Macaca fascicularis: one gene and its partners. The protein of the gene in region 1 interacts with the protein of each later gene in a pairwise test. Links are inferred from orthologs where the notes say so. Each region holds a gene or a part of one and is shown on either strand. Other genes may lie near its edges.

Region 1 (4,198 bases):
TTAATATTATACTTATCCCAATATATCCAAAATATCAATTTCAACATTAAGTCAATACGAAAGCTGAGATATTTTACATTTGGGGGGTACTAATTCTTGAAATCCAGTGCGCATTTGACACAGCACATCTAATTTCAGCCTAGCTACATACATTCTGAGTGTTCCATCAGTAACCACAAGTAGCCAGTGACTAAGTAGCCAATACCTGTCAGGTACAGCACAGATTTAGACTTTGAGCAACTTGAAAGCTGGTTATCCTTTTCTCTGCAGGGCCTCTAGAGTAGGCATGCAGTGAATATTTTTGAAAGGTAAATCAGAAAGATCCTGATTCTTACATGTTCTGCAATTACTTTCTTTAAACTCTCCAGCCTCAGAAAAAGTGGAATGGGGATCATGCTTATTCCTGCGTATCAAACCAATGAGTATGGGGCTTCCTGACTCCCAGAAGGCCTGAATCATCCGAAATGTTGACTCATGAACCTAAGGTGACTGAAATGTAACGTGAACCAAATTAGCTTTCCAAGGCATCTTTGCATTTCCACTTTCCGGTCTCCCGCTGCCTCTCTCTTTGGGTGACTCACTCTCCTACCATGTAAGAGTCCAGCATCAGGCAGGGCCCCAAACTCGCTTTGGAAGAAGAGCAGACTTTCAAATGGTCGGCCCCAGATCCCCAGTTAATTCAGCACAGCTGTTTTGCCTACCAATTCCAGGGGCTGCGGTTTAGACTGAGTGAGTCTGTCAAAAAAACAAGTTTTTTCTTATTTGAGGGCGGTAGTAGTAGTGATGTGGTTTGGAACATTAAGTGAAAAAATAATATTTTATTTCTAAAATCTTTAAAAATCCTTAGGGCCCACTTCACAGTCCCGTTAATAGCTTTCTCCAGTCGGGTTTCTTCCTTTCCCGGGAGGAAAGTTTCCACTCCCAGTCCCCCAGGATAACGCCCTTCCGGTGGCGCGCCAGGAACCGCGCCGACCCCTCCCAGCTAGCAGCCCGCCCCCTTTCCCAGTGCTCTACGACAGACGGACCCCCAGCTGCCGGCAAGGCCAAGACCCCACCCCAACTCACAGTTACTCAAAGTGGGGGTGGAGCTCCCAGCTCCCAGCACCGCCCATTGAACGCAATCCCCGCCGGTAAGAGAGAGGAAGTGCCGTAATCCCCACCCACTTTCATCTCCTTCCCTCTCCGTTGGCCTGGCTGGACGCCTATCTTCTCTATCCTGTAGCCGATTGGCTCTCTCCCTCCCGCGCCAGTCCCTGCCCTCCCCCGGGTAGGGTGAGTCACGCCAAACTGGGCGGAGAGTCCGCTGGCCTCTCTCCTAGCTCGTCTGGGCGGTGGCGGCGGCAACTGGGGACAGGGCGGGTGGCGCATCACCGGCGCGGAGGCAGGAGGAGCAGTCTCATTGTTCCGGGAGCCGTCACCACAGTAGGTCCCTCGGCTCGCTCGGCCCAGCCCCTCTCAGTCCTCCCCAACCCCCACAACCGCCGGCGGCTCTGAAACGCGGCTCCGGCGGCGGCAGCAGCAGCTGCAGCATCATCTCCACCCGCCAGCCATGGAAGACCTGGACCAGTCGCCTCTGGTCTCGTCCTCGGACAGCCCACCCCGGCCGCAGCCCGCGTTCAAGTACCAGTTCGTGAGGGAGCCCGAGGACGAGGAGGAAGAAGAGGAGGAGGAAGAAGAGGACGAGGACGAAGACCTGGAGGAGCTGGAGGTGCTGGAGAGGAAGCCCGCCGCTGGGCTGTCCGCGGCCCCGGTGCCCACCGCCCCTGCCGCCGGCGCCCCCCTGATGGACTTCGGAAATGACTTCGTACCGCCGGCGCCCCGGGGACCCCTGCCGGCCGCGCCCCCCGCCGCCCCGGAGCGGCAGCCGTCTTGGGACCCGAGCCCGGTGTCGTCGACGGTGCCCGCGCCATCCTCGCTCTCTGCTGCCGCAGTCTCGCCCTCCAAGCTCCTTGAGGACGATGAGCCTCCGGCCCGGCCTCCCCCTCCTCCCCCGGCCAGCGTGAGCCCCCAGGCCGAGCCCGCGTGGACCCCGCCCGCCCCGGCTCCCGCCGCGCCCCCCTCCACCCCGGCCGCGCCCAAGCGCAGGGGCTCCTCGGGCTCCGTGGGTGAGTGCCGCGCCCTCTCGCTTTGCGCCGCCCCTCGCGCCCCTCCCTCTTTTGTGTGCAGCCCGAGATGCTTTGGGCTGGGCCCTCCTCTCCGCCCCGAGGGGGCTTTGTCTGCAGACTTCGGGGCGATGGCGCCCCTCCTGGTTGGAGGCGCGGGGAGAAGGGTGGGGCGGCCCTTGGAGGCCGGGCTTGTTCTCATTGTCCGTCTTCGTTTCGGGGAACACGTGCACCGCACCCGGCTCCCACTTCTACCCTCTGTGGTGCCCAGCGTACCGATTCTCGGAAGTTAGGCACCCACCCGTAGTAGGAGCCGGGTGTATACCCGGGAACCAGGGTTGTGGATTTATTGGGTTGGTTGGGTTCGAAGTAAGGAAGGAAAGGCCTTGGCACCCAGACCTTTTTAGGAGGTGCTTTTGTCTACTCGTCTGGGTTGCTCCTTTGGAAAAGGTGCAGTTGTGCTGCGGGTCCGTTGGCTTGCATTCGGCCCTGGGCTCCCTTCTCACCTCCTGCCTGGCGTGGGTGGCTCCTTTGCGCTTCCCCTCCCCCTCCTGTGCTTGTGGGGAGCTGGCCGAGTGGAAAACGTCCACATTGACCCAACCGCAGTGAAGGGAGAGCGCCTCCAGTGGTGTGGTGCGTGGAGAAACGGGAAGGAGAGAGTTCTGGTGAAGTCCTGCCACCGCCCAGCTCACCGGGGTGTGATGTGGACTGCTCCCCACGAGCTAAACCGAGCCAGGGAGAGAGGATCTGGGCATTGTGTTCCGAGGGGGCGTAGTTCTGCCAGGGTTTCAGCTGCAGGGTCGGAGGAATTGATGTTAGTGTGGACTTGGCCCAGCCTCTTAGTGCATCATAATTGAATCTTAAAGAAAAAAATAAAAGGCAAAATGGTTGACATTCCTAAAGAAGGGCAAACCTGTGGATTCCTTGCCAGGAATTGGCTAATTGAACTCGTGGCAGATTTACCATGAGACATAGAGAAGTGTTTTGAGACAGACATTTTCATATATATTGGTTAGAAATACAGTTTTTCAGAAGTGATATGTTTTAGGTTACAGAATCAAAATACAGTCACGTGCCGCATAACGACCTTTAGGTCAAGGACAGACGCATATGCAACGGTGGCCCCGAAAGGTTATAATGGAGCTGAAAAATTCCTGCCGACTAGCGACGTCTTGATCCTGACCCTGTGTAGGCCTAGGGTAATGTGTTTGTATCTTAAGTTTGTAACAAACGTTAAAAAAAAAAAAAGTAGAAAAAAGCTTATAGAATAAGGATATAAAATTTTTTTCTATAGCTATAAAAGGTGTTTGTGTTTTAAGTTAAACGTTATTACAAAAGAGCCAAAAAGTTTATAAAATAGAAAAGTTACAGTAAGCTAAGGTTAATTTATTGTTGAAGAAATATATCTAAAGATAAATTTAGTGTAGCTTAACTGTAGAGTGTAAGTTGTACAGTAGTGCATGGTAGTGTCCTAGGCTTTCACATTCACTTGCTACTAACATCCAGAGCAGCTTCTAGGCTTGCAAGCTCTATTCATGGCCAATGCCCTGTACACGTGTGCCATCTTTTAATCCTTTGTACAGTGTATTTTAGGTATGTTTAGATAAGCACTACACAAATACCATTGTGTTACAGTTGCCTACAGTAATATTCTGTATAGGTTAGTAGCCTAGGAGCAATTGATTATACCATATAGCCTAGATGTATAGTAGGCTCTACCATCTAGGTTTGTGTAAGTACACTGATGTTTGCACAACGACAGAATTGCCTAACAATACATTTCTCAGATCCTGTTCCCACTGTTCAGTGAGGCATGACTGTATGTATGGTCTGTAAAATAGTTTTCAAGTTCTTTCTTTCACCTAAGTCCCTGATTGTATATTATTATTAGGCATATTGTTTTATTGCCGTTTTCATCTTGGGAAATTATTTTGGAAGGGAAAAAAATCACGTTTGTTAGAGATTGAGAATGCATAATAAATTAGATGCATTCATAAGTACTTGCTACTTCGGGGACGGAAAGCGTGTCCCACTAGCAGTAGGACCTTTAGGTATAAAAGGTCAAGAATCAAGTAGTGTAAACTGCCTGCTTGGAA
Region 2 (3,500 bases), on another chromosome or scaffold:
CAAGTTTTTCCAGTCTATAGAAAAGGAAAAACACTTCACAACTCATTTCATAAAGTCAACATTACCCAGAACCAAAGATATGGCAAGAAAACTACAAAACAATATCCCTAATAAAAATAAATGGAAAAAAATATTTAGCAAAGACTAAAAAATCAAATCCAGTAATACACTAAAGGAATACCATAACACGACCCAGTGGATTTTATCCAAGCTATGCAAAACTGGCTCAACTTTCAAAACACAGTGTAATTTATTTGAACATACTAAACAACAAAAATCATATGATCATCTCAATAGATGTGAAACAGCATTTGACAGAATTTAACATCCTTTTTTGATAAAAACTCTCAGGAAGCTAGAATACAAGGGAACTTCTTCACCATAATAAAGAGCATCTACAGAAGCCTGCACCTAACTACTGAGTATAAGAGTGAAAGACTGAAGGATTTAACACTGTTTAAGATTGAGGCAAGAATATTCACTCTCACCAGTCTTATTTAACATGATAATAGAAGCCCTATCCAGTGTAATCAGTCAAGAAAAAGAAATAATAGACATTGATATTGGAAATAAATAAAACTAGAGACAACCAAAATGTTCCTCAACTGATCAATCAACAAACTAGTGCATTCATTCAACGGAATACGGTTCAGCAATTAAAAAGGGAAAACTACTGAAACACACACCATGGATGAATCTCAAACACGTTATGACAGGTGAAAGAAGCTGGACTCAAAAGACGACAAACTGTATAATTCCATTTATATGACATTCTGAAAAAGATAAAACAGGAGAGGCTAAAAATGTATCCACACGTGTCTGGGGCTGGAGTAGGGAAAGGACTGACTAAAAACAAATGTAGGAGAATTTTCTGACATAACAAAACCATTTTATACTTTGGTTGTGGTGGTTACAAGACCGTGTCTATTTGTCAAAAAGCATAGAACTATATACTAAGGATGAATTTTATTATAGTAAATTATACCTTTAAAAAGGAAAAAAAGAGAGAATATGTGTATGTGTAAATGTTAGAATGAGACTGCCTGAGCTCTGCTTCTTCCTATAATAAATGTGGATATTGGACAGATTATCAAACTCTCTCGCCATCAATTTTCTCAACTGTAAAGTGAGAATAATAATAGCATCTACCTCTTAATGTTGTTAGCTTTCCTTGGTGCTATTCCATTGTTATTATTTAATCTCTCACCCAACACTGTGCTCATTGTTAAGAAAACACAAATGAATCTATGGCATGGTCCCTGACTTCCTGGAGGCTCCAATCTAGTGAATAAGCATCTCTGGAAGGGCCAAATGAACACAATTGTTTTACTGCCATTAGATTTTACAATTACAAAAATTAGCAAAATTTGCGGTATGCCAAATTCACATCAATTTCAAATATAGTTCAACCTTTTCAAGAATGTTCTAAAATAGGAACCAAAATTTCAACTCAAATCTAAGAAATTCTACTGCTGGCCCAGATATTTCTAGAATATCTCTATAGACAATTTTAAAAGACTCAAAATTGCAATTATCTATAGCTTCTCAGGTTCAGAAAGAATATCAACCTACCTCATTTTCACCAATTTATTCTAGCATTTCAATGTTACCTTAATTTGAATAAAAGTATCAAGAAAGCATGAGAAGAATATGAAATTGTGTTTCCTTATATGCCAAGACTTTATATATCTGAATAAAACTTTTCCCTAAAAAGACAAAGCTAATAGGAATCATGGAAAATGAATGAAGGGACTATGAGGTATTCCAGAAAAGTCTGCTCTCTCCAACAAGAGGGACATTAATAACTTTGTCTTTAGATCACATAAATGACTCACCAATCTGTGTGACTTATATGTGCATTACAACTACACACCGTGCACACATACCCAAATCCCTTCTGTGAATATCATTTACCTCTGTCCCTTAACCAGGTGGAATGTCCTTACTTCAAGGTTAGAGTATTAGAGGCATGAGAAATTCATGCTGGAACATACCACAGCTACTTTTAGAGAGTCAATTACATTTTTATCATATTCAATATATATTTATTGAAGGCCCAATATGTGCTCAGTTCTCACAGCATAAATCTTTATCGGCAGTTTTTATTAAATGTGTCCTTACCATTCAGAGCTAAAAGAAAATCAAGCTATTCTTATTTCAAAGATTTCCTATCCACTGTCATCTCACATCACGTCTCAGTGAAACACTGTGAGAAGTGTTCTTGGAGTGTTATCAACTAAAAATTCTGCAATAAGTATGGCTTTTTGCACAGGATTTCACACTGAATAATATAGTAACATCTAGAAATTCCTAACCTAGAAGAAAAAAAGAACATTTTACAAGATATTTTTAAAAGCATGACATGTGCACAAGGGGCTTCTCAAACAGAATCCACAGACTCGTTTTCACCATTTCACTTGCTCAGAACTATTGTTTTGAAATATGGAACTCCCAAACTTGGATCTTCCAAAGTTTTATATATTGAAAATATTCCTAAGGATTATATCTCTCAATCAGAAGCCAGTATGTGGGAAGGTAAAAGAGAGAGAAAAATAAAATCCACATGATAACTAAAAACAAGTCAAAATAAAATAAGTAGAAATACTCTTTGGAGGAACGCAGAGAAAATGATGACTGGCTAGCTTACCTTGCTTTTTTCCATTAACAGTTTCTAAAGTACCAGGGAGCTGGCTGTCAAAGCCATGTTGAAGGCCACTTCTTTGCTTTTCAAGGTGATGCTCTTCCTCCGCAATAGAAGAAAGCACATGTGGTGACTTGTGGTCATCACTGGCCCGATTGGGCCACTGGGACATTGTGGAACATGAGTCCTTTGCATGTTGGCTAAGCCTGGGGCTTGAATTTTGGGCAGAGTCCTGCAAATCACTATTACAACATGAGAAATGATCCACTTCAAGAAACAAGGAATTTGCATCCTCTTGACTCCAATCATTGTCTTGTTCTTCATCTTCAAAGTATGTTTCCTGAATCTGAATATTATCTAAGTCCTGATCTAGTTTGTCACTCAATTTAGAGTCTTGTTTGCTTACGTTAACCAGCGAAGCAGATAACATATCTCCTGCTTGCTGGAGAGCTTCATAAACCCGAGATATCCAGGAAGAGAAAGGCTGGAAGAAGTTCTGAGCATCCTGAGACGCCATGGCCAACACCATGGCCAGCTATCTGATGTCTACAGTGTCCACTTGTTCAGTTCCTTCAGTGCTCTGGATTGAATGTGAACTATAGAATAAGCATGTTGAGAAATTAATTTGGAGGTCTCTTAATGGCTGTGAATATTTCACTCTCAAAACTTCCAGCTGAAACAGAGGAAAGAAATACTTACACCTGTTAAAGTTACAACCTCAGACCCATCACCAGATACCTACAGACAATGTCAAACAGCATTTGGACACGAAAAGGGATCATCATGGAAATCTTAAAATAGTTAAATAAAAATGACTGTGAAAGCCTAGATGTAGATTATTTCAGTGCCTATTCACCTC
Region 3 (4,064 bases), on another chromosome or scaffold:
TTTCCATATATTTCAGATTACCATATGGAAAATACCCTTTGAACTGGTATATTTCTAATATAAATTTACCCAAGCCCATTCCAAATCCACCCCATTTTGGGTGACAAACGAAACAAATTGTACCGGGACTTATTTACATTACTCAATGGAAGGAAAAGAACAAAAGCCGAGTTCTGATCCTTGTTTAAATTACCAGGTGAATATGAAGAATTCAAAATATATAATTTACATTTAAAAACATGCACCATACTCAGTATGAGTATATATATTCAATTTAGAATACCCTTGATTAAAAAGTTTCCAGAAAACACTGTATATAACCATAAATTGGTAAATCTCAGGAAAATTTCCTTCATAGCTATTAGCAAGAATACCAAAAGCTGTATTCCTATTCATTCTACATAAGAAGCAACAGTCAAAATTTAAGTTATTCACCTTCCACAGAGGTGATCAAATGCATTTGTATGCATTTAAATATCGAGATTGGTCTTCCATTTTTTGATCTATAGTATACCTACTCCACATAAAGTAAAACTCAGAGCACTGGTGACTTTTTCCCCCAGTCACTCCATTCCCCCAACCCCCAAAAAAGTAATTATCAGTAGGTCAAAATTACAATTTGTTTTGTAAAATACTCAACACATCACAATACTAATATGGCAGTCAGCTTCCCATCTTATGAGCAGTGATGAAACTATCAAAATCACTGAGAAGCAAGTAACCCACTTCCTATTATCAACTGAAAATGTGTACCTACTACACAATGTGTTCAATAGAGATTCCTAAATTACAGGATACATTTAATGTAAAGAAATCCTGAGGAGCTTCTCGTTACTGAAAACCTTGCATTGAAATTTCAAGAATGATCACAGCATCAATATACAACTAATTTTTCGGCTATACAAATAAAAGTCAACACTTGCAATCCTTAGTTCTGACTACTCATGCCTTTTCTAGTTCCCTTCTCATTAGCTTTCTACAGACATTATAAAAGCATTATATTAAACAATTCCACAAATAATGTCCAAGTGATGTGCCAAAGTATGAATACTGGAAACAGGGTGATTTCTTAATAGCCAGTAGCTGCACATGACATAGTATCTTATGACCAGCTTGTTGAGGGACTGGCCCAGCTCCCCCTCTCCAAGTTAACTGCTAGCTCCAGCCATTTCTAAAAAAGTTTAACAGGAAGGGGGAGAGAAGTCCAAAAGGCTATGTGAATCTTCTTATAGCAAAAACTTAAAAAAAAAAAAAATCCCAACCATGTAATATCAAGAGATCACCCATCCGCAGTTCTATAATGGCTGCTTTCCTAAAATTTTGATACACGGATTTTAAAAAATACATAAAAGGTAAAACATCTTTTCCCTACCCTGGACCCCTTACCGCAAAAAGAGTTTATTATTAAATAATGCTCTTCTTCCTGGACTAAAGATCAGTCTCCTTTCTCACATGTTTCAAGTTACTATGAATATTTCCTGTACCCATCACGTGCCGATTCAATATCTCTATTCTGAACTAAGGTACAGGGTGAGGGAGAAAGTCCTCCACATTAATCTGTCTCACTACATCTAACCTGGCGAGTTCAACACCTCAAATTTCAACACCAAGCTGAGTCGCTCCGGCTTCTGTCGAAACAGCTGCGTCCGCAGTGCCCCCCAACCTACTCGGCTTGGCATCCTCAGACAGACCAACCTCTTTTAAGAGGTCCGACTTGAACCGCTCCCGTGCCCAGTCGTTCGGACACCGCTGAAGCCCAACCCGGATTCCTTACACCCGGGACAGCTGCCGCCCTAGGTCCCAAGGCACGGCACGCATCTGGTCTCCCAAACTGGATCCCCGGTTGATACACCCTTTCCCTGGTCCTCGGCTGCCCCCGACGAGCCCTCGGGCAGCAAGGACAGGCCCCCTATATCCCCGCCTCATCCCTAGTCGCCGCAGCAGTACTCAGCCTCGCACCCCGGCACGTTCCGCGCCTCCCGCCAGCCCCACCCCACCGCCTCAGCGGATTGCCTCGCGGCAGGTGAGTCTGGCCAGGGGTCCCCTGGCACCACCGGTTGCTCACCTTACTGAGGACCCCGCAGCGCTCCACAGGCGGCCCAGATTCCGTCTCTGGATCCTCCTCCGAGCCCGACGAGTTCCAGCTCTGATTATCCGACATGGAGGCGCGACAGCCGAGCAGGAGACCGGCCCCCGCTCCCTCAACTGCGCCGGAGGAGGCGCCCAGTCCTCGGGGTGAAGGGTCGGGGGATGGCGAAGCGAAGAGTGCCAGCTCCGCTGTGGGGGGGAGCAGGAGGAGGGACGAAGTCCGCTCGCCGCGCCGCCGCCGCGCCTGACACCGAGCGGAGCGGGGAAGGAGGACGAGCGGTGAAGGAAGCCTACCCTTCCAGCCGTCAGCCGCCGCCGCCGTCGCCGGGACCCCTGCGTTGCGCCCGGTGCTGCCACCCGAACTTAGACCCCTCGATGCCAATTTCAAATAGCGAAGGAAAAGGGAGAAGAAGGGAAGAGAAAATCCGGCCGCTGAGACCCGAGTACACTCACACCTCCGCTACCGCCGCCATCTTGCTGCCTGGCCCACTATTTACCCTCCCCTCCCCTGTCCTTTCCCCTCCCCTTCGTCCTCCCATTCTCCCCTCCTCCTCCCCGCCCCGTCCCCCTCCCGGCGTCTGACGCGACACGCCAAGCGTGCGGGATCCTCCTCCCGCACCCTACCTCCGGCTCTCCCGGATGACGAGGGGTAGAAAAGTAGGAGGAGCGCAGTAAGGAGAGGGCGGGATAGGGATGCCGCTGTGCTGCATTCTGGGAAGGGCGTTGGTTCGTCGCTCGCCCAGCCTCCTGGGAGTTGTAGTCGCGATCCTGAGGTAACGGGTGAGTATCCCGCGCGGGGATCGCTTGTCGCCTTGGGGACTTGTCAGTCGGTGGGTGGGCTTCGTTTGACAGTTGCGTGACCTGCCTCTTGGCCTCGCTTCTATCCTTGCCTTGTGTGTTTATGACGAACCCTCCGGGCTTGCGGGCCAGGACGTGAGAGAGCTTTCTGCTGAAGATGACGGGCCTGCGTTGCAGGGCTGCTTGTCGAAAGCCCGGGAGCGCGTAGCCGCTTCCGCCTCAACCACGGGATGGGGTTTTGTGAGCTCCTAGTGCCAAGGGGGTTTTCTTTCCACCAGACCACCGCTGTAAATCTCGAGGGTCTTACCCATTAGAAGTTAGAATTCACATTTGACGTTTAAAGGAAGAATTTCCTTAGTACCTTCTGACAAGCACGCACTTCGCATTTTTAGATTTCTAGAATTTTCTTTGTGGAAAGTAATTTTGAGGTTGTCAGAGAATAAATAACGTTAGAAAGGTTTTTAAAGTAAAACAAGAATGTCAGATGATAGCCTGGGATTTTCTCTTAGTTGTAAATGAATATCTTACTGAGAACCACGTTAACCATGCCTGCCCCTCAAAGATAGGAAAGTTTGGATATATAGAAACTTTCTCGTATTAGAAATACGAGATTAGGGGATTAGGCAATAGGTGGCTATTTTTAAGACTAGGGTTGAATTAGCAGAAAGACCAAAAGAAGATCTAACAGCTCTTGTCAGTTGTCAAGGATAACTTTGATGGTGAGACCTTTGACTTTGTAGCTTCAGTAATTTCCTCTCGTTAGCTATTTTAATATAGTCGAGTTCCTGATAATTGCCAAGAGTAAAATTTGTTATTAAGCCTTAGAAAGAATACCTTTTTTACTACAAGGATGGGACAATAGGAGCGAAATTTCGAGTCTAAGGGAAAACGCTAGCCGAGTGCCGTGGCTCACGCCTGTAATCCCAGCACTTTGGGAGGCCGAGTTGGGTGGATCACCTGAGGCCGGGAGTTTGAGACCACCCCGTCTCTACTAAAAATACAAAGATTAGCCGAGCAGGGTGGCGGGTGCCTGTAATTCCAGCTCTTTATATCCTGGTTTCAAATCTAGGCTTGATGACCTTTTCCCATATCCCAGTCTCCTATTTTTTACTTCCTCAATGGGGGATTAATTACGATTCTAAATGTTTGGTAGCATGAAGCTAGGTTATCTCTATCGT
Region 4 (4,234 bases), on another chromosome or scaffold:
CGCCCAGGGCTGGGCTTGGTGGCTCATGCCTATAATCCCAGTGCTTTGGGAGGCCAAAGTGGGCAGGTTGCTTGAACCCAGTAGTTTGAGACCAACCTGGCAATGTAGCGAGGCACCATGTCTGCAGAAAGTTTAAAAATTAGCCAGGTGTGGTGGCATGTGCCTGTGGTCCCAGCTACTTGGGAGGCTGAGGTGGGAGGATAGCTTGAGGCCAGGAGGTCAAGGCTGCAATGAGCCACAATTGCACCACTTGCACTCTGGCCTGGAGGACAGAGGAAGACCTTGTCTCAAATACAAACAAATAAGTGAAGTAAGAAAGCACCAGCCCTTGGGATATTTGTTTTGATCCTTTTCCCCAGTAAAAACTTGTTAGAGTAGGAAGTTAGAAAACAGCGTGGTAGATTGATGGCTTATTAACTACTAAGACAACATATTACTTTGAGAAGGATATTTTCTATTTTAAAAGTAATTCTGGAGGTCACTCTTTTTTGTGTGTATGTGTGTGGAGATGGAGTTTCACTTTTGTTACTCAGGCTGGGGTGCAATGGCACGACCTCAGCTCACTGCAGTGCCCGCCTCCCAGGTTCAGAGGATTCTCCTGCCTCAGCCTCCTGAGTAGGTGGGATTACAGGTGCCTGCCACTACGCCTGGCTAATTTTTTTATATTTTTAGTAGAGACAAGGTTTCACCATTTTGGTCAGGCTGGTCTCGAACTCCTGACCTCAGGTGAGCCACTGCACCCGGCCCAGTTAACTCTGTCTTAACCAAAGAAATCAATTTGCACAGTACAATATTGATTTCAATGACAAGTTAGTACAAGAGATTTTGGAGGGGCCATGCGTGGCAGCTCACACCTATAATCCCAGCACTTAGGGAGGCCAAGGTGGGTAGATCACTTGAGGTTGGGAGTTCAAAACCAGCCTGGCCAACATGGTGAAACACCGTCTCTTCTAAAAATACAAAAATTAACCAGGCTTGATGGTACCTGCCTGTAATCCCAGCTACTTGAGAGACTGAGGCAGGAGAATCACTTGAACCTGGGAGGTGGAGGTTGCAGTGAGCTGAGATTATGCGATTACACTCCAGCCTGGGCGACAAGAAAAAGACTCTGTATTTAAAAAAAAAAAAAAAAAAAAAAGATTTTGGAGGGGGTCCACCTTTTTCAGTACGCTTTAGTTTAGAACATCACAGCTATTTATTTGTACATGGGACAGATTCTTCCTGTGGATAGAATAGAATAATTCTAGTCTCATTTTCAGGTTCAGGGAGGGTCTACTGCATCTCCTAAAAATCAAAAACAAGTCTGGCCACTTGTTTTTTTCCTTCTCAGATTGTGAGACTATAATAGTGGATTTACAGAGGCAGTCTGTGCTCTGAATTGTTCAGCTTACAGATTAAAGTCTATCAACTCTTTATAGTATCAGGTTATTTATTTTGTATCAATTATTTGCTTTTGTTGATTAGCTCTACCAAAATAATAAAAAACCTCCCAAGATTTCTCAATCTTTCCGCCCTTCTTTATGCTTTCTCTTTACAATGGAAAAGTAGTCCAAAAAGTATTTGTTAGGAAATTTTTTTGTTACTTGCAGTTTGTGGCATGATATGGCTTTTCTGTTTCACTGTTGGCAGCTTTATGCATGTCCTGTAGGATAACTTGATCATTTTGTTACATATTTATGTGTGTATATATACATCCTGTGTGTGTGTATATATATATATTTATGTAATTTAAAAAATAAAAAGCATGCTGCTTGGCTTGGCTAGCTAATGTGTAATTGTACCTGGTAAACAATTATTTTCTTTGAAATTCTTGAGCTCTCTTTGTTCTGATGAGCCATCTTCAGAAATTATGACATCTTCCTTTCTTTCATCTTCTGAAATACATAACAATGGCCTTACAATACTACATGGAGAAAAAAGCAATGTGTTAGGGAGCCAGCCTATTTTAGCCAAAGAAGGAAAAGACCACTTGGATCTTCTGGATATGAAAAAGATGGAAAAGCCTCAGGGGATCAGCAACAACATGTCAGACTCTCCAATTTCTCTTGCAGCAGGAGTTCATTGTGACCGTCCTTCTATTCCAGCCAGTTTCCCAGAGCATCCTGCTTTGCTTTCAAAGAAAATTGGTCAAGTGGAAGAGCAAATAGATAAAGAGACCAAGAACCCAAATGAGGTATCAAGTAGGGAAGCTAAAACTGCATTGGATGCTGATGACAGATTCACTTTGCTAACAGCCCAAAAACCACCTACTGAATACTCTAAGGTAGAAGGCATTTATACATACTCTTTGTCCCCATCCAAAGTTTCAGGAGATGGTGTTATTGAAAAGGATTCCCCTGAATCACCATTTGAAGTAATTATTGACAAAGCAGCATTTGACAAAGAATTTAAAGACTTGTATAAGGAGAGCACAGATGATTTTGGTAGCTGGTCTATGCACACTGATAGAGAATCATCCGAAGACATTTCAGAGACTAATGACAAGCTTTTTCCACTGAGAAATAAAGAGGCAGGACGTTACCAAATGTCTGCATTGCTCAGTAGGCAGTTTTCACACACAAATGCAGCACTGGAAGAGGTGTCTAGATGCGTGAATGATATGCATAACTTTACTAACGAAATACTGACTTGGGATCTGGTTCCCCAAGTGAAACAACAGACTGATAAATCTTCTGACTGCATCACAAAAACTACAGGACTTGACATGAGTGAATATAATTCTGAAATTCCAGTTGTAAATCTTAAAGTTAACACTCATCAGAAAATTCCTGTATGTTCTATTAATGGGAGCACTCCCATCACTGAATCAACAGGTGATTGGACAGAAGCATCTCTCCTACAAGAAAATGCTATCACTGGAAAACCTATACCCGACTCTTTCAATTCCACAAAAGAATTCAGTATCAAAGGTGTGCAAGGCAATATGCAGAAACAGGGTGACACACTTGCAGAATTACCTGGATCTCCACCTGAGAAATGTGACTCTTTGGGTTCTGGAGTGGCCACAGTGAAAGTGGTTTTACCTGATGACCACCTGAAAGATGAAATGAACTGGCAGAGCTCTGCATTGGGAGAAATCACAGAAGCTGATAGTTCTGGTGAGTCTGATGACACAGTAATAGAGGACATCACAGCAGATCTATCATTTGAAAATAAGAAAATTCAAGCTGAAAAACCTGTTTCCATTCCAAGTGCTGTTGTAAAAACAGGTGAAAGAGAAATCAAAGAGATTCCCAGTTGTAAGAGAGTAGAAAAAACATCTAAAAATTTTCAAGAGTTGGTCAGTGACTCTGAGCTGCATCAAGAGCAACCTGATATTCTTGGAAGGAGTCCAGCTAGTGAGGCAGCAAAAGTACCCAATATAAATGTCTGCTTAGAAGATGTGAGTGAAGTTGCTCCTGAAAAGCCTGTTACTACTGAGAACCCCAAACTTCCTTCAACAGTGTCTCCAAATGTTTTTAATGAGACAGAATTCTCATTAAATGTGACAACATCTGCCTACTTGGAGTCATTACATGGGAAAAATGTTAAACATATAGATGATTCCTCCCCAGAGGACCTGATAGCAGCCTTTACAGAAACCAGAGATAAAGGAATAGTAGATAGTGAAGGAAATGCCTTTAAAGCAATATCAGAGAAGATGACAGACTTTAAAACAACTCCTCCTGTAGAAGTCTTACATGAAAGTGAGTCCAGTGGTTCTGAAATTAAAGGCATTGGAAGCAAATACAGTGAACAAAACAAACAAACAAATGGAAGTGAGCCTCTAAGTGTTTTCCCTACCCAAGGTACTCCAGTAGCATCTCTTGACTTAGAACAAGAACAGCTCACAATTAAGGCTCTTAAAGAATTAGGTGAAAGACAGGTTGAGAAGTCAGCTTCTGCACAGCATGACGCAGAATTGCCTTCTGAAGAAGCACTGAAGCAAACTTTCACATTTGCTCCAGAATCTTGGCCACAGAGATCATATGACATCCTAGAACATAATGTCAAGAATGGATCCGATCTTGGGATTTCCCAAAAACCCACTACTGTCAGAGAAACTTCTAGGGTAGATGCTGTTTCCAGCCTTAGCAAGACTGAATTGGTAAAACATGTCCTAGCAAGACTTCTGACAGACTTCTCAGGTAACCATTTATATTAGAATACTGCATGTGGTTAATTCTGTGATTGATTACTTATCAGCGTGCCGTTTATGTTAGAGTCTGATTTATACCTACAAAATTATGGCTAG
Region 5 (4,200 bases), on another chromosome or scaffold:
CAAAGTGCTGGGATTACAGGTGTGAGCCACCACGCCCGGCCCCCATCTCTCCTCTTTAGAATGGCCCATGGGGATCCATTTTGTTAACACCAACAATTAGTTTCACACCCAGCGTGTAAGCCAGAAGGGTGTGTTCACGTGTCTGCCCATTCTTGGAAATACCAGCTTCAAATTCACCAACACTAGCAGCAACAATCAGGGCAGCACAGTTAGCCTGAGATGTGCCTGTAATCAGGTTTTTGGTAAAGTCTCTGCATCCTGGGCCATTGATGATGGTCACATAAGACCAGTACTGACTGGTCTTAATTGCCAGCAGGGAGGTAGCAGTGGTGATAGCACTCTCACGTTCAACTTTTAGCTTACCCAAGACCCAGGTATGCTTGAAGGAGCCCTTTCCCATCTCAGCAGCCTCCTCAAAATTTTCGATGGTTCTTTTGTGGATCCCATCACACTTGTAAATCAGATAGCCAGTAGTGGTGGACTTGCCCAAATCAGATGACAATGTTGAGCTGAGTCTTTTCCTTCCCCTGCACCCTTTCTTTTGAGATGGAGTCTCACTCTGTTGCCCAGGCTGGAGTGCAGTGGTGCGATTGCAGATCACCGCAGCCTCAACCTCCTGAGCTAAAGCCATCGGCCAGTTCCACCTCTGGAGTAGCTGGAATTACAGGTGTGCGCCACCACGCCCAGCTAATTTTTGTATTTTTAGTAGAAATGGGGTTTCACCATGTTGGACAGGCAGGTCTTGAACTCCTGACCTCAAGTGATCCACCTGCCTCCACCGCCCAAAATGCTGGGATTACAGGTGTGAGCCACGGCACCAAACCCCCATTTTGGCTTTGATTTAATGGTGATTTTCACGACACCTGTGTTCTGGCAGCAAGTCCATTGCAAGAAAGCTCCACTGACCTACATAGATTCTATTATAAACATCTCCATTCTACAAATGAGAAACTGAGGCTGAGTAGTTATGGGAAACTCCTACAGCTAGTAAGAGTCGTGACTCAGAGCCCATGACACCATCCTGCTTCTCCAGCGTTCTTTGCTTCCCTACTTTCCAGAAAACATGAATTAGGGAATCCTGACAGGGAAATAATTTGACGTTGTCCTGCACATAATGGGCACAATAGGAGTTGGGTGGATGAATGAAAGCAGGGATTTGGGAAGCAGGGGAGAGGTCCTTTGGAGGACTGTGACAAGGGTTTACGCTTGGATAGGGTGGGCTTGATCACCCGGCAGAAATGAGACGAGTGATCACAACCTCCCCCACCAATCTTTCCAATGACTTGGGTTTACGCTTCACCACAGAGAAGGAACTTTTCAGACGCTCCCTTGGCCGCGCACCCGGGATCGGAACAGCGCTGTCACTTGCGATAAAATCCCTGGGCCGGAGGAAGAAGGGCGCAGGCCCAGGCGAGGCGGCGGCGGTCGGAGGCCGGGCCGGAGGGGTGGGGACAGGGAGGAAGCGGAGTCCGGCGTTCCGCTCCGCTCCAGCTCGGTTTCATGTCCCGCCAGGCGAAGGATGACTTCCTGCGGCACTACACAGTGTCGGACCCCAGGACGCACCCCAAGGGCTACACCGAGTACAAAGTAACCGCGCAGGTGAGGTGGGGCCCAGCGCTTACTTTACCCTTTTAACTAGAGGGGCGCCGAGTTTTACCTTAAGGAAAGGCGCTGCAGCCACCACTCCCTTTTTAGACGACAGAAATGGGTTTCCCCTTTAAGCGGCGGTTGCAGTAAACGAACAAGGGTTCGTTTACTTCTTTAACCATCAGCGGGGCGGGGCCGTGAGTGGGCGCTGTCTTTTTTTAAAAGGGCGTGGATGGCCGTTCCCGGACAAGCAAGGCGTGTATGCCCACGCCCGGCGTGTAGTGTCTGGGCATCAGACTGTGAATTTCTGTAAATTAACATGAAAACTCTGGTTTAACCCAATTATTAGTACTCCAGTCTCGTAGAGTAAGTTTTGTTTATTGGTTTGTTTGATCTTACATAAAATCCCTTTAACGAGTTTAACCGTTTTTAATTTTTCAGAAAATAATACTGGTCAATGGTTAAAAAAAATTCATGCAGTTCGGAAGGACTTAAGGAGTAAGTCGCCATATCAAGGTCACAGCAGGAAGATAGATAGGCTAGAGTTGATATATGAAGCGATAGCAACATCATAAGCACAATTTATAGAGAGACATGGAGGAAACCATGAAAATAATTAAAAATAGTAAAACAGGACACCTGTAGAATGATATACAAGAACGGGTAACAAGAAGGTCCCCAGGGAGAAGAACTGTGTCACTGAGGACAGAAGTTGGGGAAGACTTTTTACTGTAAGTTTTTTGTACTTTTAGAATTTTCAACTAGGCGACTATTAAGCTGGTGCATTAGTTAACTATAAAAGCAAAGCAGGCACGTAAGGACACTTATAAAGTGTCTAAGTGCAGAATCTTAGCTATTTAAAATATGCTTTCCCCAAATCGTTTGTCTTTTCCATGCCTAAAAATAAATGCAAATAAGGCCGGGCTCAGTGGCTCATGCGTGTAAATCCCAGCACTTTGGGAGTCTGAGGGAGCAGATTGCTTGAGTTTAGGAGTTCAAGATGAGCCTGGGCAACACAGTGAGACCCCAGCTCAATATTAAAATGCACACACACACTTACACACACACCCCTTTTAAAAAATGCAAATAAAAACGTTGTCCCTGGGAAGATAGACTGGAGGTGGGGTTGGGGTAGGAAGGATGTGGCAAGGAACTGTAACCTTTTATTATAAGTCTTCCCAGTGGCTTTTTTGTGTTGTTGTTTATTTGTTTATTTTTTTGAGATGGAGTCTGCACTGTCGCCCAGGCTGGAGTGCAGTGGCGCGATCTCGGCTCACTGCAAGCTCCGCCTCCCGGGTTCACACCATTCTCCTGCCTCAGTCTCCCCAGTAGCTGGGACTACAGGCGCCTGCCACCGTGCCCAGCTAATATTTGTATTTTCTGGTAGAGATGGGGTTTCACCTTGTTAGCCAGGCTAGTCTGGAACTCCTGACCTCAAGTAATCCACCGGCCTCACCCTTCCAAAGTGCTGGGATTACAGGTGTGAGCCACCACACCTGGCCTCCCATTGGCTTTTTAAACCAAGCAACATGCATTATTTTGATATATTTGTGTACATATTATATATACAATGTATTATATATAATAAATATATAAAATATAAAGCACATTCTCTCACTCTCTCTCCCTCTGTCTCTCTCTCTCTCTATATATATATATATGTGTGTGTGTATATTTTTTGAGACAGAGTCTTGCTCTGTTGCCCAGGCTGAAGTACAGTAGTACTGTCTCAGCTCACTGCAGCCTCCACCTCCTGGGTTCATGCAGTTCTCCTTCTTCAGCCTCCTGAGTAGCTGGGATTATAGGCGTGTGCCATCACACCCGGCTACTTTTTGTGTTTTTGGTAGAGACAGGATTTCACTGTGTTGGCCAGGTTGGTCTCGAACTCCTGACCTCAAGTGATCCTCCCACCTCGGTCTCCCCAAGTGCTGGAATTACAGGCATGAGCCACCGCACCTGGCCTATATTTTTATTTTATTTTATTTTATTTTATTTGCGACAGAGTCTTGCTCTGTCACTTGGGCTGGTGTGCAGTGGCATGATTCGCGTCTTACTGCAGCCTCAAGTTCCTGGATTCAATCCGTCCTCCTGCCTCAGCCTCCTGAGTAGCTAGGACTACAGGCATGTGCCACCATGCCTAGCTTAATTTTAAATTTTTTTGTAGAGACACAGTTTTGCCATGTTGCCCAGGCTGGTCTCAAACTCCTGGCCTCAAGCAATCCTCTCATTTTGGCCTTCCAAAGTGTTAGGATTACAAGCCACACCGTACCTAGCTTCCTGTGGCACTACACGGTGTCAGGCCCTAGGTCCGACTAGCTAACACGGTGAAACCCCGTCTCTACTAAAAATACAAAAAAAAAAAAAAATTTTTTTTAGATAGAGTCTCGCTGTGTTGCCAGGCTGGAGTTGAGTGGCGTGATCTCAGCTCACTGCAACGTCTGCCTCCTGTATTCAAGTGATTCTCCTGCCTCAGCCTCCTGAGTAGTTGGGACTACAGGCGCCTGCCACCACGCCTGGCTAATTTTTGTATTTTTAGTAGAGACAGGATTTCACCATGTTGGCCAGGCTGGTCTTGAACTCCTGACCTCAAGTGATTCACCCACCTCGGCCTCC
Region 6 (3,500 bases), on another chromosome or scaffold:
TTCAAGTGATTCTCTACCTCAGCCTCCTGAGTAGCTGGGACTACAGGCACGCACCACCTTGCCTGGCTAGTTTTTTGTATTTTTAGTAGAGGCGGGGTTTCACCATGCTGGCCAGGCTGGTCTTGAATTCCTGACCTCGTGATCCGCCTGCCTCAGCCTCCCATAGTGCTGGGATTATAGGCATGAGCCACTGCGCCTGGTCTGGTTTTGTTTTCTAATGCAATCTGTGAATGATATTTTTTTAAATTATATAACTTGGATGCAGAGTTGTATTCTCTTGATGGACTGTGTAAATTGCATTTAAATACAATATTTTCTAAATTTCTAGCTGCTGTAAATATTTTAGTGTATTGGCTAATGATAACATATTCTGTGGTTAGTGTTAATTGAAGCAACTTTTTAATACTCATGTTCAAGATTGATCAGTATTTTAGGATCTGCCTCATATTTGTTTATAATTAGGTTCATCTTTTTGGCGCTTCTTTGGGAGGCTTTTTGGCCCAGAAATTTGCTGAATATACTCACAAATCTCCTAGAGTCCATTCCCTAATCCTCTGCAATTCCTTCAGTGACACCTCTATCTTCAACCAAACTTGGACTGCAAACAGGTAAGAACAAAATTATTATTTCTGTTCAGTGAAATTTTGAAAATGTTGGCTTTTGAGTGTTTGGTATATTAGGAAGGGAAGGCTTACATCTACTTCTATATTCTGCAACTTCCTTGGCTTTTTTTTTTTTTTTTTTTTTTGATACAGAATCTTGCTCTGTCACCTAGCCTGAAGTGCAATGGTACAACCACAGCTCACTGCAGCCTTTATTTCCCAGGCTTAAGCGATCCTCCTACCTCAGCCTCACAAATAGCCGGAACTACAGGCAGGCATGCGTGGCACCACACCTGGTTAATTTCTGTATTATTTTGTAGAGATGGGATTTTGCCATGTTGCCCCATGCTGGTCTCTAACTCCAGGGCTCAAGCGATCTGCCCACCTTGGCCTCCCAAAGTTCTGGGATTACAGGCATGAGTCACTGTGCCCGGCTGTTTCTTGACTTTTAAAATTAGAAACAATTACCTTTACAAAAGGAAAGAATTGAATGAACTCTAAATTCAGCTTTATTACCCTAAATTTTTAAATTTTGTTTAATATTCATTAATACACTTTTGCTGTTTCTATTCAGTACTTCTATATAACTAATACCATGTTCTGTTTATCCCACTTATTATTTTGTGTAAACAGTTCCGTGTATTGACTGACATAGTTTTATTAGGCATTTGACTTTTCCCAATTCTTCGTCACATTCTACAGTAAATCTTTGTAAAAATTACTGGGTTTTTTCCCTTACCGATTTTTTTCCTTGAGATATGTTCTCCAAATGGAAAGACTAGAGCATTTGGTCTGTCAACAGATGTTCTGCACATCATGACCCTTGATATTAGTCTGTTCTTCCAAAAGATAGAAATGGTGGAAATGAGGCTGGGTGCAGTGGCTCACACCTGTAATCCCAGCACTTTGGGAGGCTGAGATGTCTGGATCACCTGAGATTGGGAGTTTGAGACCAGCCTGACCAACATGGAGAAACCCCGTCTCTACTAAAAATACAAAATTAGCTGGGCATGGTGGTGCATGCCTGTAATCCTAGCTACTCGGGAGGCTGAGGCAGGAGAATCACTTGAACCCGGGCGGCAGAGGTTGCGGCGAGCCGAGATCACGCCATTGCACTCCAACCTAGGCAACAGGAGCAAAACTCCATCTCAAAAAAAAAAAAAAAAAAACCAAAAAAAGAAATGGTGGAAATGCTTCAGGAGCAGCCAGGGGGGTACTTGTTTCCTAGGAGCCATTCTTTCATTGATTTTTATCATTTTAAGTAATTGATGGGTATCTATGATGCCATACAGCTGGCCACAGGACTTTTTTTTAAAGGCTGGAGCCTCGCCTTGCTAGCAATGAAAGAAATCTACAAATAATAATAATACTTCTATCTCTACAAATAATAATAATAATAAATTAGCCAGATACCATGGTACACAGCTGCAGTCCTAGCTAATCAGGAGGCTGAGGCAGGAGGATCGCTTGAGCCCAAGAGTTCGAGGCTGCAGTGAACCACAATCATGCCTCTGTACTCCAGGCTGGGTGACAGAGCAAGACCCTATTTCAAAAAAAAGCCCAATGACTAAACACATCTGTATGATCAGTGTTTTCAAATAATGTATAGGGAAGTATTGTTTTCACATCTACTTAAGATTGCACTCTGATATTTTTTAGTTTTTCTGATGTTACCTTAGTAGTTACTCAGTGTTCATGCAACAATTTCTTGTATACATTAGCTACTTTACAAATCCTTCCTGTCCAGATAATGCACTAAATAATGCTCATTATTTTTGGTGATTTTTATTGCTGTTCTAATTGTTAGACTGCCAAGACAGCCCCCATTCAGTTTGTGCTCTGGCACACGAGCTGCTTTTTGTCAAGTATCTGAGTGCTTACTGTGTGCCACACGCTGAGGATACAGGAGTGAGCAAAGCCAACAGGGTCTACCCCTTACAGAGCGTACTTAGACCTCATCACCTTCAAAAGATAAGAAAGTGATGGGGCTGGGAGAGAACTTAGAGAGTTAACTGGAAGGTGACTCAGTGTTCCTTTTGAGGGAAGCTCAACTTCCAGCAAGGCTGTCCCAATGATAATAAGCATCAGAAGGTAGTTTGCACCTCATCTAAGTAATTTTCATCATAGGTTTAGAGAAATTAGTGTTTACCCTCCAAGATGGCTCTTAACAGTTGAAATTAATGGAATAAATATAAACTAAAGATCATATATAGAAATCCATAAAGATCTGACCAGTCACAGTGGCCCACACCTATAATCCCAGCACTTTGGGAGGCAGAGGTAAGAGCATTGCTTGAGTCCAGGAGTTCTAGACCAGCCTGGGCAACATAGCAAGACCCTGCCTCTACAGAAAAAAAAATTTTTTTGAGATGAGAGTCTCACGCTGTTGCCCAGGGTGGAGTGCAGTGGCACGATCTGACTGCAACCTCCACCCCCCAGGTTCAAGTGATTCTCCTGCCTCAGCCTCCCGAGTAGCTGGGATTACAGGCGCCTGGCTAAATTAGCCCCTGGCTAATTTTTGTAGTTTTAGTAAGAGACAGGGTTTCACCATCTTGGCCAGGCTGGTTTTGAACTCCTGACCTCGTGATCCACCCACCTTGGCCTCCCAAAGTGCTGGATTACAGGCATGAGCCACTGCACCTGGCTCAGTAAATTTTTTTTTTTTTTTTTTTTTTTTTTGGAGAGGGAGTCTGGCTCTGTCACCCAGGCTGGAGTGCAGTGGCACGATCTCTGCTCACTGCAAGCTCCGTCTCCCAGGCTCACGCCATTCTCCTGCCTCAGCCTCTACTAAAAATTTTTGGTATTTTTAGTGGAGAGAGGGTTTCACCGTGTTAGCAAGGATGGCCTCCCAAAGTGCTAAGATTACAGGCGTGAGCCACACCTGGCCCCGGCTCAGTG

The links.
Region 2: the proteins of RTN4 (region 1) and SYT16 interact in binary tests that used the Homo sapiens proteins (3 or more experiments, as listed by UniProt). The link is inferred for Macaca fascicularis from reciprocal best matches to the Homo sapiens genes RTN4 and SYT16.
Region 3: the proteins of RTN4 (region 1) and CERT1 interact in binary tests that used the Homo sapiens proteins (3 or more experiments, as listed by UniProt). The link is inferred for Macaca fascicularis from reciprocal best matches to the Homo sapiens genes RTN4 and CERT1.
Region 4: the proteins of RTN4 (region 1) and RTN3 interact in binary tests that used the Homo sapiens proteins (3 or more experiments, as listed by UniProt). The link is inferred for Macaca fascicularis from reciprocal best matches to the Homo sapiens genes RTN4 and RTN3.
Region 5: the proteins of RTN4 (region 1) and SNX15 interact in binary tests that used the Homo sapiens proteins (3 or more experiments, as listed by UniProt). The two-hybrid records come from large-scale screens. The link is inferred for Macaca fascicularis from reciprocal best matches to the Homo sapiens genes RTN4 and SNX15.
Region 6: the proteins of RTN4 (region 1) and SPG21 interact in a two-hybrid assay, tested with the Homo sapiens proteins (2 studies listed by BioGRID and IntAct). The two-hybrid records come from large-scale screens. The link is inferred for Macaca fascicularis from reciprocal best matches to the Homo sapiens genes RTN4 and SPG21.

The regions. Positions count from the first base shown.
Region 1 is NC_088387.1:66,790,582-66,794,779, forward strand, and holds the start of RTN4 (reticulon-4), read left to right. Parts: upstream 1-1,398; 5' UTR 1,399-1,549; coding exon 1,550-2,105; intron 2,106-2,153; exon of another isoform or gene 2,154-2,269; intron 2,270-2,689; exon of another isoform or gene 2,690-2,767; intron 2,768-3,150; exon of another isoform or gene 3,151-3,301; intron 3,302-4,198. UniProt on the Homo sapiens protein: Required to induce the formation and stabilization of endoplasmic reticulum (ER) tubules. They regulate membrane morphogenesis in the ER by promoting tubular ER production.
Region 2 is NC_088381.1:129,839,454-129,842,953, reverse strand, and holds part of SYT16 (synaptotagmin-16), read right to left. Parts: intron 3,315-3,500; 5' UTR 3,171-3,314; coding exon 2,648-3,170; intron 1-2,647. UniProt on the Homo sapiens protein: May be involved in the trafficking and exocytosis of secretory vesicles in non-neuronal tissues. Is Ca(2+)-independent.
Region 3 is NC_088380.1:79,525,945-79,530,008, forward strand, and holds the start of CERT1 (ceramide transfer protein), read right to left. Parts: upstream 2,801-4,064; 5' UTR 2,799-2,800; coding exon 2,713-2,798; intron 2,572-2,712; exon of another isoform or gene 2,460-2,571; coding exon 2,066-2,459; intron 1-2,065. UniProt on the Homo sapiens protein: Shelters ceramides and diacylglycerol lipids inside its START domain and mediates the intracellular trafficking of ceramides and diacylglycerol lipids in a non-vesicular manner.
Region 4 is NC_088388.1:10,692,449-10,696,682, reverse strand, and holds the start of RTN3 (reticulon-3), read left to right. Parts: upstream 1-1,434; 5' UTR 1,435-1,849; coding exon 1,850-4,127; intron 4,128-4,234. UniProt on the Homo sapiens protein: May be involved in membrane trafficking in the early secretory pathway. Inhibits BACE1 activity and amyloid precursor protein processing. May induce caspase-8 cascade and apoptosis.
Region 5 is NC_088388.1:9,347,097-9,351,296, reverse strand, and holds the start of SNX15 (sorting nexin-15), read left to right. Parts: upstream 1-1,400; 5' UTR 1,401-1,500; coding exon 1,501-1,599; intron 1,600-4,200. UniProt on the Homo sapiens protein: May be involved in several stages of intracellular trafficking. Overexpression of SNX15 disrupts the normal trafficking of proteins from the plasma membrane to recycling endosomes or the TGN.
Region 6 is NC_088381.1:41,561,080-41,564,579, reverse strand, and holds part of SPG21 (maspardin), read left to right. Parts: intron 1-462; coding exon 463-608; intron 609-3,500. UniProt on the Homo sapiens protein: May play a role as a negative regulatory factor in CD4-dependent T-cell activation.